Oryctolagus cuniculus: one gene and its partners. The protein of the gene in region 3 interacts with the protein of the main gene of each other region in a biochemical or structural test. Links are inferred from orthologs where the notes say so. Each region holds a gene or a part of one and is shown on either strand. Other genes may lie near its edges.

What was found.
Region 1: the proteins of FKBP8 (region 3) and EGLN1 form a complex in vitro, tested with the Homo sapiens proteins (2 studies listed by BioGRID, with this or other methods). The link is inferred for Oryctolagus cuniculus from reciprocal best matches to the Homo sapiens genes FKBP8 and EGLN1.
Region 2: the proteins of FKBP8 (region 3) and BCL2 form a complex in vitro, tested with the Homo sapiens proteins (4 studies listed by BioGRID, with this or other methods). The link is inferred for Oryctolagus cuniculus from reciprocal best matches to the Homo sapiens genes FKBP8 and BCL2.

Annotation. Positions count from the first base shown.
Region 1 is NC_091444.1:50,887,978-50,891,622, forward strand, and holds part of EGLN1 (egl nine homolog 1), read right to left. Parts: intron 1,647-3,645; coding exon 1,510-1,646; intron 1-1,509. UniProt on the Homo sapiens protein: Cellular oxygen sensor that catalyzes, under normoxic conditions, the post-translational formation of 4-hydroxyproline in hypoxia-inducible factor (HIF) alpha proteins.
Region 2 is NC_091441.1:15,291,250-15,294,994, reverse strand, and holds the start of BCL2 (apoptosis regulator Bcl-2), read right to left. Parts: upstream 2,357-3,745; 5' UTR 2,220-2,356; coding exon 1,674-2,219; intron 1-1,673. UniProt on the Homo sapiens protein: Suppresses apoptosis in a variety of cell systems including factor-dependent lymphohematopoietic and neural cells. Regulates cell death by controlling the mitochondrial membrane permeability. Appears to function in a feedback loop system with caspases.
Region 3 is NC_091447.1:65,700,686-65,704,330, forward strand, and holds part of FKBP8 (peptidyl-prolyl cis-trans isomerase FKBP8), read right to left. Parts: intron 2,709-3,645; exon of another isoform or gene 2,564-2,708; intron 1,221-2,563; 5' UTR 1,196-1,220; coding exon 913-1,195; intron 1-912. UniProt on the Homo sapiens protein: Constitutively inactive PPiase, which becomes active when bound to calmodulin and calcium. Seems to act as a chaperone for BCL2, targets it to the mitochondria and modulates its phosphorylation state.

The DNA of each region.
Region 1 (3,645 bases), on a different chromosome or scaffold from region 3:
AAAGGATACAATCAAACCAAGCTCAAAATCTCATTGAAAAGAAGGTCTATGAAGCAGTTTCTGGGTCAGAAAACATTTAAAGAGTCTGCAGTGGGAGGTAGAGGCAGGCACTGAGCTTCAGGACGAGGGATGGGATCCAAGAGAAAAGATTCTCTCTGGTTTCCATTTAGGACTTTTTATGATTTCTGGCTACCAACTGTTCAGCCTGCTCCTCTGTGTGAATTAGCGGGAAGGCTGCTTGACTCAGAAAGGAGAAAAAAGGGAGAGATGACACGCAAGTCTTCAGAAGCTCACGCAAGCTGACTGGACTCTAACATCAGCACTAAACCCAGTGTCTCTAAGGGTGTGCATCCTCTCTCCAGCACACATCCCTCTGCATCTCCTAAGCCAGATGTTAAAACAGATTGCTGGAATTCATTATCAGAATATTCTAGGTTCTTTCTGAAATGAAAAAGATATTTAGAAAATAGTATTCTTTCTACAAATACCTAGTTTCATAGCAATATCTGCAACAACTTCAGTTTTAACAGTCTTCACATTTAAACTGAGTTATGAGAAATGGTAAAAAAAAAAAAGGAATTAAACATTTAGGGTACTAAACCTTGTAAAGAAAGGACATAATAAAACATATGCTTCTTAATAAGGCTAAAAGATTATTTTTCCAACATTAACTCACACATATGGCAATCTTTCTTCTACTTTTCTTTCCTCTATTGTTTTTTCTCTTCACTTCTACTCCCTAGTTACCTCATATTTTTTTCTACTCTATCCATTTTTCCATATTGTTACTCTTTATTTTTTCTCTCATTACTTTTTTTTAAGATTTTATTTATTTATTTGAGAGGTATAGTTATAGACAGAGGGAGGGAGAGACAGAGAGAAAGGTCTTCTACCCACTGGTTCACTCCCAAAATAGCTGCAACAGCTGGAGCTGTGTCAATAAGAAGCCAGGAGTCAGGAGTTTCTTCCAGGTCTCCCAAATGGGTGCAGGGGCCCAAGGACTTGGGCCATCTTCTACTGCTTTCCCAGGCCATTAGCAGAGGGCTGGATTGGAAGAGGGGCAGTTGAGACACAAACTGGTGCCCATATGGGAAGCCAGCACCTAGGCAGAGGCTTAGCATACTATGCCACAATACTGGCCCTTCTCATTACCTCTGCCCTTCTCCTTTCCTATCTGGTATTTCCATCACCCAAGTGAATACCCTCAGAAAATCAAAGGATAGGCAATAATTCAGAGATGAAATCACCAAGAGACAGGGCTAGAAGGGTGAGAAGTTTCCTTTTCTTATCCAAGACAAGGAGTGACTGTGCAAAGAAATACACAAGCATTTAGTACCAACTATGAATAAATCATATACAATTTTTAAAATAAAAATGACTATAAAACATAATAAAAAGCACCTGGAGAACAGGAAAATACTCATTAGAAATTTTTCAAATTTACTCAAATTATCCTCTCCCATCCAACCATAGTTTTTGTAACATATTTTTTCTTAAAAGAAATACTACCTTGTAGCATATGCTGGTTGTACTTCATGAGGGTTGCGACGGTCAGACCAGAAAAACAGCAGTCTATCAAATTTAGGTTCAATGTCAGCAAACTGGGCTTTGCCTTCTGGAAAAATTCGAAGTATACCTCCATTTACCTAGGAAAGGAGACAAATATGTAAGCATGAGTAACCAAAAATGCTCTAAGATTAAGCTGGGGAGGGGGCTATTTCAGTGAAACAAAATTCTGAATCAAATTATTCACAAATCCATATCAATTAACAAGGTATGATGTAAGCTGAGATTCTAAGTACTGCACTGCTGCAAGGAAAAAATTCATTTCTTGTTTGAGAGGTTTTATAAATATATGCTGAAACATGAATATTGTCTCAATTTAATTCCTAAAATGATGCTTGAATGTTTCGAAAACTATTAAACGTTTATATATCCTAATGATCTACTTAAACTGCCCTTAAAATGGATACCTTTCAACAAGTCATTTGGATTAAATTACTATAAATGGCTCATGTCTAATAGCTAATTGTATTTGAAAGCTGAACACTTAATATAACATCCACAAATGTCTTGTAAAGAATTTAAGAAAAATATATAAAGAATTTAATACATTGCTAGACAGTGTCTTCATTTATCACTATCATCACTCCACCATTCATGCCACAGTCACTGTTGGGACTCCCTTTTCAGACTGGGCTTGATATGCTCATAATTACTTGATTATAAAACTCAATTCCTTCCAGAATTATTATTTACTTAAATACACCATTCTCTGAAGTTACATGGACTCATCCACTCCTACCAATATTGACTGAGCAGCTATTTCACTGGGAACTGTGGTGACCCTAGGTGCAGAGCAGGTAATACAGCCAGACCTTGTTCTTGAGGTGTTTACAATCTGGGAGGAGAATAAAGCTAGGCAAATCACAGCCAAACAAGAATAAACACCTAAAGAGGCCACTGTTTAAAATGGAAAGGAACTGCACCACCTGGTCAAGACTTCCTGGAGGTTGAGCCTAAAGCTATAATCTAGTCAGAAAAAAATGTTCATCAGGCTCATCTTCAGGTCCAGCTCCTTGGGCCCCCTTGCCAGTGTTCCAGTGTTGGTTCCAGGTTGTTCACAGTGATTCCCCAGGCAATTATGTAAAAATCTCACAACTCTCCAGGTTTTTCCCTGTCCCCTTCCCTTTGACTGGAGTCACTGGGAATATCACAGATGATTGGCTGAAATGTTTAAAGAGAAATGGCTAGTCGACACCTCCCCTGGGAAACCTTCCCTGACCTCTGATCTGGGTGGCCTTCCTATGCACTTCCAGAGATATTAATCTTTATTAATCTTTTTTTTTTGACAGATAGAGTTAGGAAGTGAGAGAGACAAACAGAGAGAAAGGTCTTCCTTCCGTTCGTTCACCCCTCAAATGGCTGCTATGGCTGGCGCTGCGCCGATCCAAAGCCAGGAGCCAGGTGCTTCCTCCTGGTCTCCCATGGGGTGCAGGGCCCAAGCACTTGGGCCATCCTCCACTGCCCTCCTGGGCCACAGCAGAGAGCTGGACTGGAAGAGGAGCAACTGGGACTAGAACCCGGTGCCCATATGGGATGCTGGCGCCGCAGGCAGAGGATTAGCCAAGTGAGCCATGGTGCCGGCCCCAGAGATACGATTCTGACACTTGGCACAACTGAATTTAACTGTCAATCTATCCTCTGTACCTCCAACAGATCAATCCACAGCTCTACGAGAGTTATTTGCATTTCTGCTCTATCCTTAGCACACTACATACTCAGTGCCATCTTGAAATTGAAGTTTTCAGTTCTACATATAAACATTTTAGGGACTTCTTTCTGCCTATGTGTCAATCTGAAATCTATACAATAACGACTTTGGCTAAGCTGTATAAAAATTCAAAGACCTGGGGTGGGTGTTTGGCTCAGTGCTTGGGTCTCCACAAAGGGTACCCACATCCTCTCGAGGAAGGCCTGGTGGGAGTCCTGGCTTCCTGCTACTGTGCACCCTGGGAAGCAGCAGATGACTCCTGTCACCCACATGGGTCATCTAGATTGAGTTCCTGGCTGTTGAGGGCACTTGGGGAATGAACCTGTTCTCTCCATCTACCTTTTGGTCTCCCTGCCTTTCAAATAAAATGA
Region 2 (3,745 bases), on a different chromosome or scaffold from region 3:
GGTGATTAAAAATCAAACCAGCTGCTTAACTAAACACTTAACAAAAATATTCTTTTCATCCTTTAGCAAATTACTCCAGAATCACTAAAGACCTGATAATGTGGGATTTCAACAAACAATCCATAAAGAGTCATTAAATTTTAGAGATTTAAATTGGGATATTTTAGTTAATTTTACATTCAAACATTGAACAGTGGCATCAATATTTTGTCAACTTTGGTCAAATAATATCAGATGTCCACATCAATCACCTACATTTCTTGGCCCCGTCTCTTTTTGGCCCCTTAATATTAGCATACTTTGAAAAATGGAGCAAAAATGAAGAAATGTGCTTCTTGCAGTCACGTCTAGGCTTTTGGATCCCATTAGGTTCTATAATGTGAGTCATTCTCCTAAGAGACTATAGAAGAGCTCACAGAAATGCATCCTTCTTCCAAGATAACTCTTCAGACTAAAAACAAAGTTTAACAAAACTCCAGACAAGAATGATTACTTTCTCATAAATTAATCCTTTTAGGTAAGAGATGGAAATCTTAATTAAGCACCGTTGAGTCTTGGGATCCGCACCCCAGTCCCAGAGCATCATGGAAAAATACAACTGCGTGGTGAACAGGATCGAAGCTCTATCTAGCAACCGCCCCGGAGCGGGAGAAAAAGCGTCTTACCAAGGTTCTTAAAAGTCACAGCTGCTCATCACTTCAACCCTGGTCAGCGCATGAAAGAATCCACAGCTAAAGATCAATTCTTCTACGCTTTACATAGTTTCCCTAGGTGCAAGTTTCTCTGTGAGTGTGTGTGGTGTATGTAAGCAGAGACCACAAAATCATGTGGCGTCTAGGTGGTAAAATGTAAGAGATGGTAAAACTCCAGGAAACTTCTAAATGCGACACAAGGGACAGCACACAAAGTCTGCAGCCAATCCAAACCCCATCACTGACAAGAGGACGCAGCGCATCCACAGACTGCTGCCCTTCAATGCACACCATCGTGTCCACTGGGTCACGGCCCGACCAGCAGGTGAACACTCCCCCGGCTCTCCCTACGTCCACTTACCTCTTCACAAACACAGCTAAGACCTTCAGGGAAAGGGGTTACACTGGGCTTCCTCTGGGGCAGTTTTTACCCAGTGAGGCAAACATGTTCTTGGTCCTCTGGGGGAGTCTGTTCTTCGATGGGGTGGCTTACAACTTTTAGGACAAAGACAAATCCACCAGGGGAGCCTGTTTAGGATGCAGACTGCCAGGGCCTCGCCCTGGGGTGGTGGTGGTCGTGGGATGCGCGGTGTGTCTGGTCCACACCAAGTCCCTGAAACCTGCGATTTCAACTACCCAGGCCACGTAACTGTGGTGCTGGGGACTCCGCAGCCCCAGTTTGAGAAGCACGGGAAGGCAGGACCATGCATCACAAAATCCTACTGGGCCGCAAAGGCAGCATCTGGGAGCCTCCAGGGCTGGCACACCACTTTTGGCGGGAAGCAGTTGCCCTAGCTGGGAGGGCAGGGTGCGCTTCCTGCAGGGCGCGCTGGAGGGAAAGCAGGGAAAGTGACACACCTGCTGTTAGCTCACGGGCTCTGCAGTCTGCCCCGGCCCCCGGGGTCCACCCACACCCTCGCCACGGCATCTCGGACCTGCGACCGCAAGCCCAGACTCACGTGCAACCAGACAGGCACCTACCCAGCCTCCATTATCCTGGATCCAGGTGTGCAGGTGCCGGTTCAGGTACTCAGTCATCCACAGGGCGATGTTGTCCACCAGGGGCGACATCTCCCGGTTGACGCTCTCCACACACATGACCCCACCGAACTCAAAGAAGGCCACAATCCTCCCCCAGTTCACCCCATCCCTGAAGAGCTCCTCCACCACCGTGGCAAAGCGCCCCCTCGCGGTGAAGGGCGTCAGGTGCAGCTGGCTGGACATCTCCGCGAAGTCGCGGCGGTAGCGCCGGGAGAAGTCGTCGCCCGCCTGGCGGAGGGTCAGGTGGACCACAGGTGGCACCGGGCTGAGCGCGGGCCCCGCGGCGGCCGGCGGCGGCGGCGGCGAGGTCCTGGCGGCCGGGTCCCGGGGCGCAGCGGGCGCGGGCTGGGAGGAGAAGACGCCCGGCGCGGAGGCGGCGCCCGCGTCCCCAGCGTCCCACTCGTAGCCCCTCTGGGACAGCTTATAGTGGATGTACTTCATCACGATCTCCCGGTTGTCGTACCCTGTTCGCCCGGCGTGCGCCATGCTGCCCTTGGGCGCCCGCGGTGCCTCCGGCCGCGTCCCGCCGCACGGGCCCGCTCAGAAGCCGGCGGGGTTCCCGGGCGCGCGCCGCATCCTCGGGCGCGGGGGTGTCTTCAGTCACGCGGAGCCCTCGCTTCTGGTGTTTCCCCGTTGGCAGCAGGCGCAGGAGATTTTTACTCAAATCCCTTTCGGATCTCTGTTTCACGAGGCACGTTATCATTCATAAGCGTGGTGAACGCCAGTCTTTTCCCTACGTGATGCTAGAAGGTTGGAAAAAAAAAAAAGGCAAACAAACAAAAACAAAACCTGGTTAAGCCAAACTCAGGTGCGTTCTCCGGCACACACGGAGAGAAAGCGGGGGCATGCACGCTGCGGGCCACACGGCTAAAAACAACGCATTCAACTGCCTGAAAATTCACATTTACTCGAAGGCACTCCGAGTTAGCATCTCGAGTGCCGCCACCGAAAGTTACGCGAGCCCGATCTGCTGCGCAAAGAACTTACTTGTGTTTTTAAAGGACAGCATGACCCTCTGTCCAGTTTCCTTCTCTGCAAAACCAAAACAAACGCATAAGGCAAGGATCCCATCAATCTTCGGAGCTCCCGGGTGAGAGCCGCTTGGAAACTTCCGAATGAATCGGGAGGCGGCGGGCGCGGGTGTAGGCACCCCGGGGCGGGGGGGTCTCCAGGCTGGCCCCCGGGTTTCTGCTCCTCAGAAACGTCAATCCGCAGGAATCCGGCCCCGAGCTCCGGAGCGCGCTCCGTCCGGGCTCCCCTCGGCCACTGACAGGCGCGCGCGCCGCGCGGGCACGGCGCGGACTCTGCCCCGGACGCCGACGGGGCCCGGCCGGCGCGGGGTCCTCTTCTGATTCAACTCCGAGAGCAGCCGACGCGTTTTCCGAAAAGCTGCGGATCAATGAAGGCAGGACGCGCCGGCCTCGCGAGGAGCCCGCGCCGTGTGTGGTGCGGCCAGGGTGGGGAGCGGGGGAGGGTTTTATTTTTTTTTTCCCTCTTTTTCCTAAAAAGGATGACTGCTACGAAGTTCGCCCCCCTGGACCCCTCTTCCGCTGCACCCGCCGGCGCACCCGCCTCCGGGCTGCGCACCCTTTCTGCTCCGCCCGCTCCCGCGCCGGGGCGCTGGCGGCGGCGGCCGCCGCCTCCTCCGGTCGCGCCGTGCGGCAGCTCCGCGCTCTGACGGCCGCTGGCGGGGGGCCCGGCGCCCGGGCACCTTCGCGGGCGGCGGCGGCGGCGCGGCGGGGACCCCGGGAGCGGCGGGCGGGCGGGCCGGCGGGCGGGCGCGCGGCGCGCGGAGGAGGGGCGGGGGCGGGGAGGAAGGGGGCGGGCGGGGGCCTGGCCGCTGACTTCATTCTCCTCACAAACCGACTGGTTTCCTGTACGTACGTCACTGTTCATTCAAAAAAAGAAGAAAGAAAGAGCCCTCCTCTGAGCCGCCCGACGGCCCCCCCCTCCGCCCCGCTCCCCTTCCCCGGTTAAAGGCGCCGCGGCCGGCCGGGGCCCGCCGGGCACAC
Region 3 (3,645 bases):
GGCAGCTATCCGCAGGCACCGGCAGGGGGCGCTGTGTGACCTCGGGCAAGCATCTGTGAAATGGGGATGGGGTGGTCACAGACACGGGGCCCGCACCCCCGTATCGGAGCGCCTGGTTCCAGTCCTAGCAGCCCTGCGTCCAGAGCCAGCCCCCTGCGCACGCGCACCCTGGGAGACGGCAGTGACGGCTCAAGGACTCGAGTCCCTGCCACCCACGTGGGAGCCCCGGGATGGAGCTCCTGGCTCCCGGCTGCAGGAGACCGGCCCAGCCCCGGCTGCTGCTGGCATTGGAGAGTAAACCAGTGGACGGATGGCCTCTCTGTCTCATTCAAATAAATAATCTTAAAAAAAAAAAAAAAAAGGCGTGCAGGCCAGGCCAGCCTCAGTACTCCCTGGGGTTATTTTTAGAGGTAGCGGGGATTCGGATGAGTGGCGGTGCGGGTGGTGGCATTTCTGCTCCTTGGTGCCGTGGCTGGGGTGTCGCTGTCGGCCCCGCACCCGCGTGGGCACCGCACTGCTCGGTAGGGAGACACCCACGCCCTCCACGGAATACTAATGAGTCCCGGGATGGGGGGGCGGGCTCACCTGGTCCCTGCCTTCAGAACGGTTCACAAAGACCGCATGGAGCAGCTCCCACCACCCACCCCCACCCCACCCCACGGCTCAACTGCACAACCCGACCTCAGTGTCACCCGAGGGCTGGGCAGAGATGCAGTGGGGGCAGGGAGCTGCGGGCGCCGGGCTGCTGTGCGGCTCCGGGCAGGTGACTCAGCCTCCCTGGGCCTCTTGGCAGCTCTGTGTGTGTGTGTGTGTGAGAGAGAGAGAGAGAGAGAGCGAGAGCGCCAGGAGTGGACTTCAGCAATTGTCACGCGGCTGTCACCAAGGTCAGCCCCAGACCCCGCCGCTCCTTACCCAGGATGTCCAGCCACTCCTCGGGGGCCGGCGCCGGGGCGGGCTCCGGCTCCATGGCAGCCAGGAACTCCCGGGCCAGGGCCCCCGGCTGCTCCTCGGCCTTGTCCGGCGGGGGCTGTGCCATGTCCTCAAGTGGCGGCAGCTCGCTCAGGTCATCGTCCTCCTCCTCCTCCTCCTCCGCTTCGGCCTCCTCCACCCCGTCCAGCACCTCAAAGTCCTCCAGCGGCGGGACCCCAGCCGGCGGCGGGGCCCTGGGCTCCGAGGGCTCGGCGCAGGAAGCCATGGTGCTGGGGGCACGGGAACTGGCCCTGGGGACAGGGGGGACGGACAGGAGGGAGGTAAGCCCCCCGGAGTCTCCTCTGTCCCACCCCTCCCCACACACACCCAGGGCTGACCACTAGCAGGGGGACTCGGGAACTCCCGGGCCTCAGTCCTCTCATCCGTACAGTGGGTACAACAACCCGGAAGGGAATTCAAAACAACCCACGCCTCAAACGCCAGGCATGAGGCTGAGAGTGTTAGCTATTATTAGAGCTAATGATTATTTAATTTTTATAAACATCTCAGCAAGTAGGAACCGTCCCTCTCCACACACAGCCCCCCCACCCATTCTGCAGATTAGAAAACAGACCCAGCGGGGCAAAGGTAGGGGTCCAAGGTCACACGGAGCAATCGCAGGGCAGGGACAGACCCTGGGGGCTTTCTGGGACTGCATGCCAAGGGCGGGTGCTGGGGGCGACGGAGCACCCCCAGGCCTCAGGGAAGCCATCTTTAGGGCTCCCAGGCTATGTGGGGAATGGATTCCAGCCAGGGCCTGCCCACCTCCACCTGCCCCTTCTCCCCAGGGGAGCCAGCTCCTCCGACAGACATGGACACCACCACCCACACCCCCGCCCCAGCCTTCTCCTTCCTCACCCTCAGCTAATCCTGACCCCCAACTCCTATTTCGGGGACCCTGGCGCTAACCCACTTCCATCAGGCCCCCTTGGGCCCCCCACCAAGCAGCCTTCGAGGGAGAGACCCCCACCCCACCCCACCCGCCCGGCCTGGCCCTGGCTTGTTCCTAGTTTTTTCCCTGCCCAGGCCTGCTGGGAGCCCCTAGCCCTAGCGACCCCCAGGCTCCCTCAGGCCCCAAGCGCCCAGGAACCCGCAGTACCGCCTCCCTAACCCTCACCTGCCCGCCGCTTCCGGGGCTCGGGCCCCCCACAACCCCCTGCGAACGCACGAATGCCCCCCGCCCCCAGCCGGGCCAGCCCCCCCCACGGCCGCTCGGTCGCCCCGGCGTCCCCTGCCGCTCCCCTCCCGACCCTCAGCACCCTCCGCCCCCGGGACGCCCCCAGCGCCCCACGCCCGTCTGACGCCACCAGTTCAGAGCCCCCCGACCCCCGCGAGCACCCCCGGCCCTGCACGCAGCGATCGGCAGCGCCCCCCGCGGGCTCTCCCTCGCTCCCTCGGGCCGCCAGCCCCGTCGCTCCCAGCAGGCCGAGCCCCCCTAAGGCACCCCCGACCCCCGCGCCCCGCGCTCGCCTCCCCCGCGGCCCCTCGCCCCGCCCATCGGCCGCGGCCCCCGCCGCGCCGAGCCCCGGAACCCGCCGAGGCCCGAACGGTGGCCCCGGCCAGCGCGACCCCGCCGGCGCCCCGGGACACGTGCCTCCGGCTCCGGGACCCCCGCCTGGGGTCCTGCGCCCCCCTCCCCGCCCCCAGCCGCGGCCGCCGCGCCTCGGGAACCAGGTTCGGGCGCCGGGCCCCACCCCCGCTGTGCTCATTGGCCGCCGCCGCCGCCACTGCCGCGCGTATTGGCTTGCGCGCACGTCCGTCTCGGGCGCGGGCACCGCCCCCTTCCTGCTTGGCTCCGCGGGGCGTTCTTAAAGGGGCCGACGCCTCCCGGCCGCTCAGGGCGGGGGCGGGGGGCCTCTGGGATGGACTTCGACCGCGGGTCCGCGCCGCACCGCCCGGCGCCGCTCCCGGCTCGGGTCTGAGCTTTCGTCTGCTGAATGGGGATAAACCCCCCGCCACGCTCGCACTCTCGGGGGGCCGCGGGGAGGGGCCTTAGGAAGCGCCGGCTGGGTCCGGGGAGCCCACCCCGAGGCCCCAGCTCTGCGAGGCGCCGGGGTGGGGGGTCGGGGGCAATGTGCCCAAGGACACCGCGTTCCCCCCACCCCGCGGGGTCTCTGTCTTCCTGGAGGGTTCCCTGATGCATGCAGAAGGCGCTCAATAACGGCTGGGTGGGCGGGCAGCTGAGCGCGCAGGGGCCCCAGAGAGGTCCCTGCTGCACGCTCGCTCGGACACAGGGCGAGGGGGCGCGCGCGCGGCCAGGCCGGACAGAGTTTCTCCGCTTGTTTTGAAGCCGGGGCACTGGCTCCTCCCTCGCAGGTTCACTTCCTCCTGGGCAGCCGCCCCTTTCCAGAAAGATCTGCGCGTTCCTTGGCTTAGAGGTGCGCTCCCACATCCCCAACCCCCACTTCGCTCTGTCCTGGCGGGGAGTTTATTTTTCTTTTTTCCTGTTTTGCACCCAGCGCCTCCCCGATGGGTGACGCGGTTGCGAGGCAATGCAGTGATTCAATAGTTGAACAAATGAATGCAGTGAATAAATGAATGAGATCCCAGTCAGCTTCCTCCAGGGAGCCCTCCCTGACCACCCCCACGGCAAGACCAGGTTAGCCTGGTGGTTTACAACATCTAGCCGCTTTGTCGAATTATTTGAAAGGCAGAGAGAGAGAGAAAGAAAGAGAG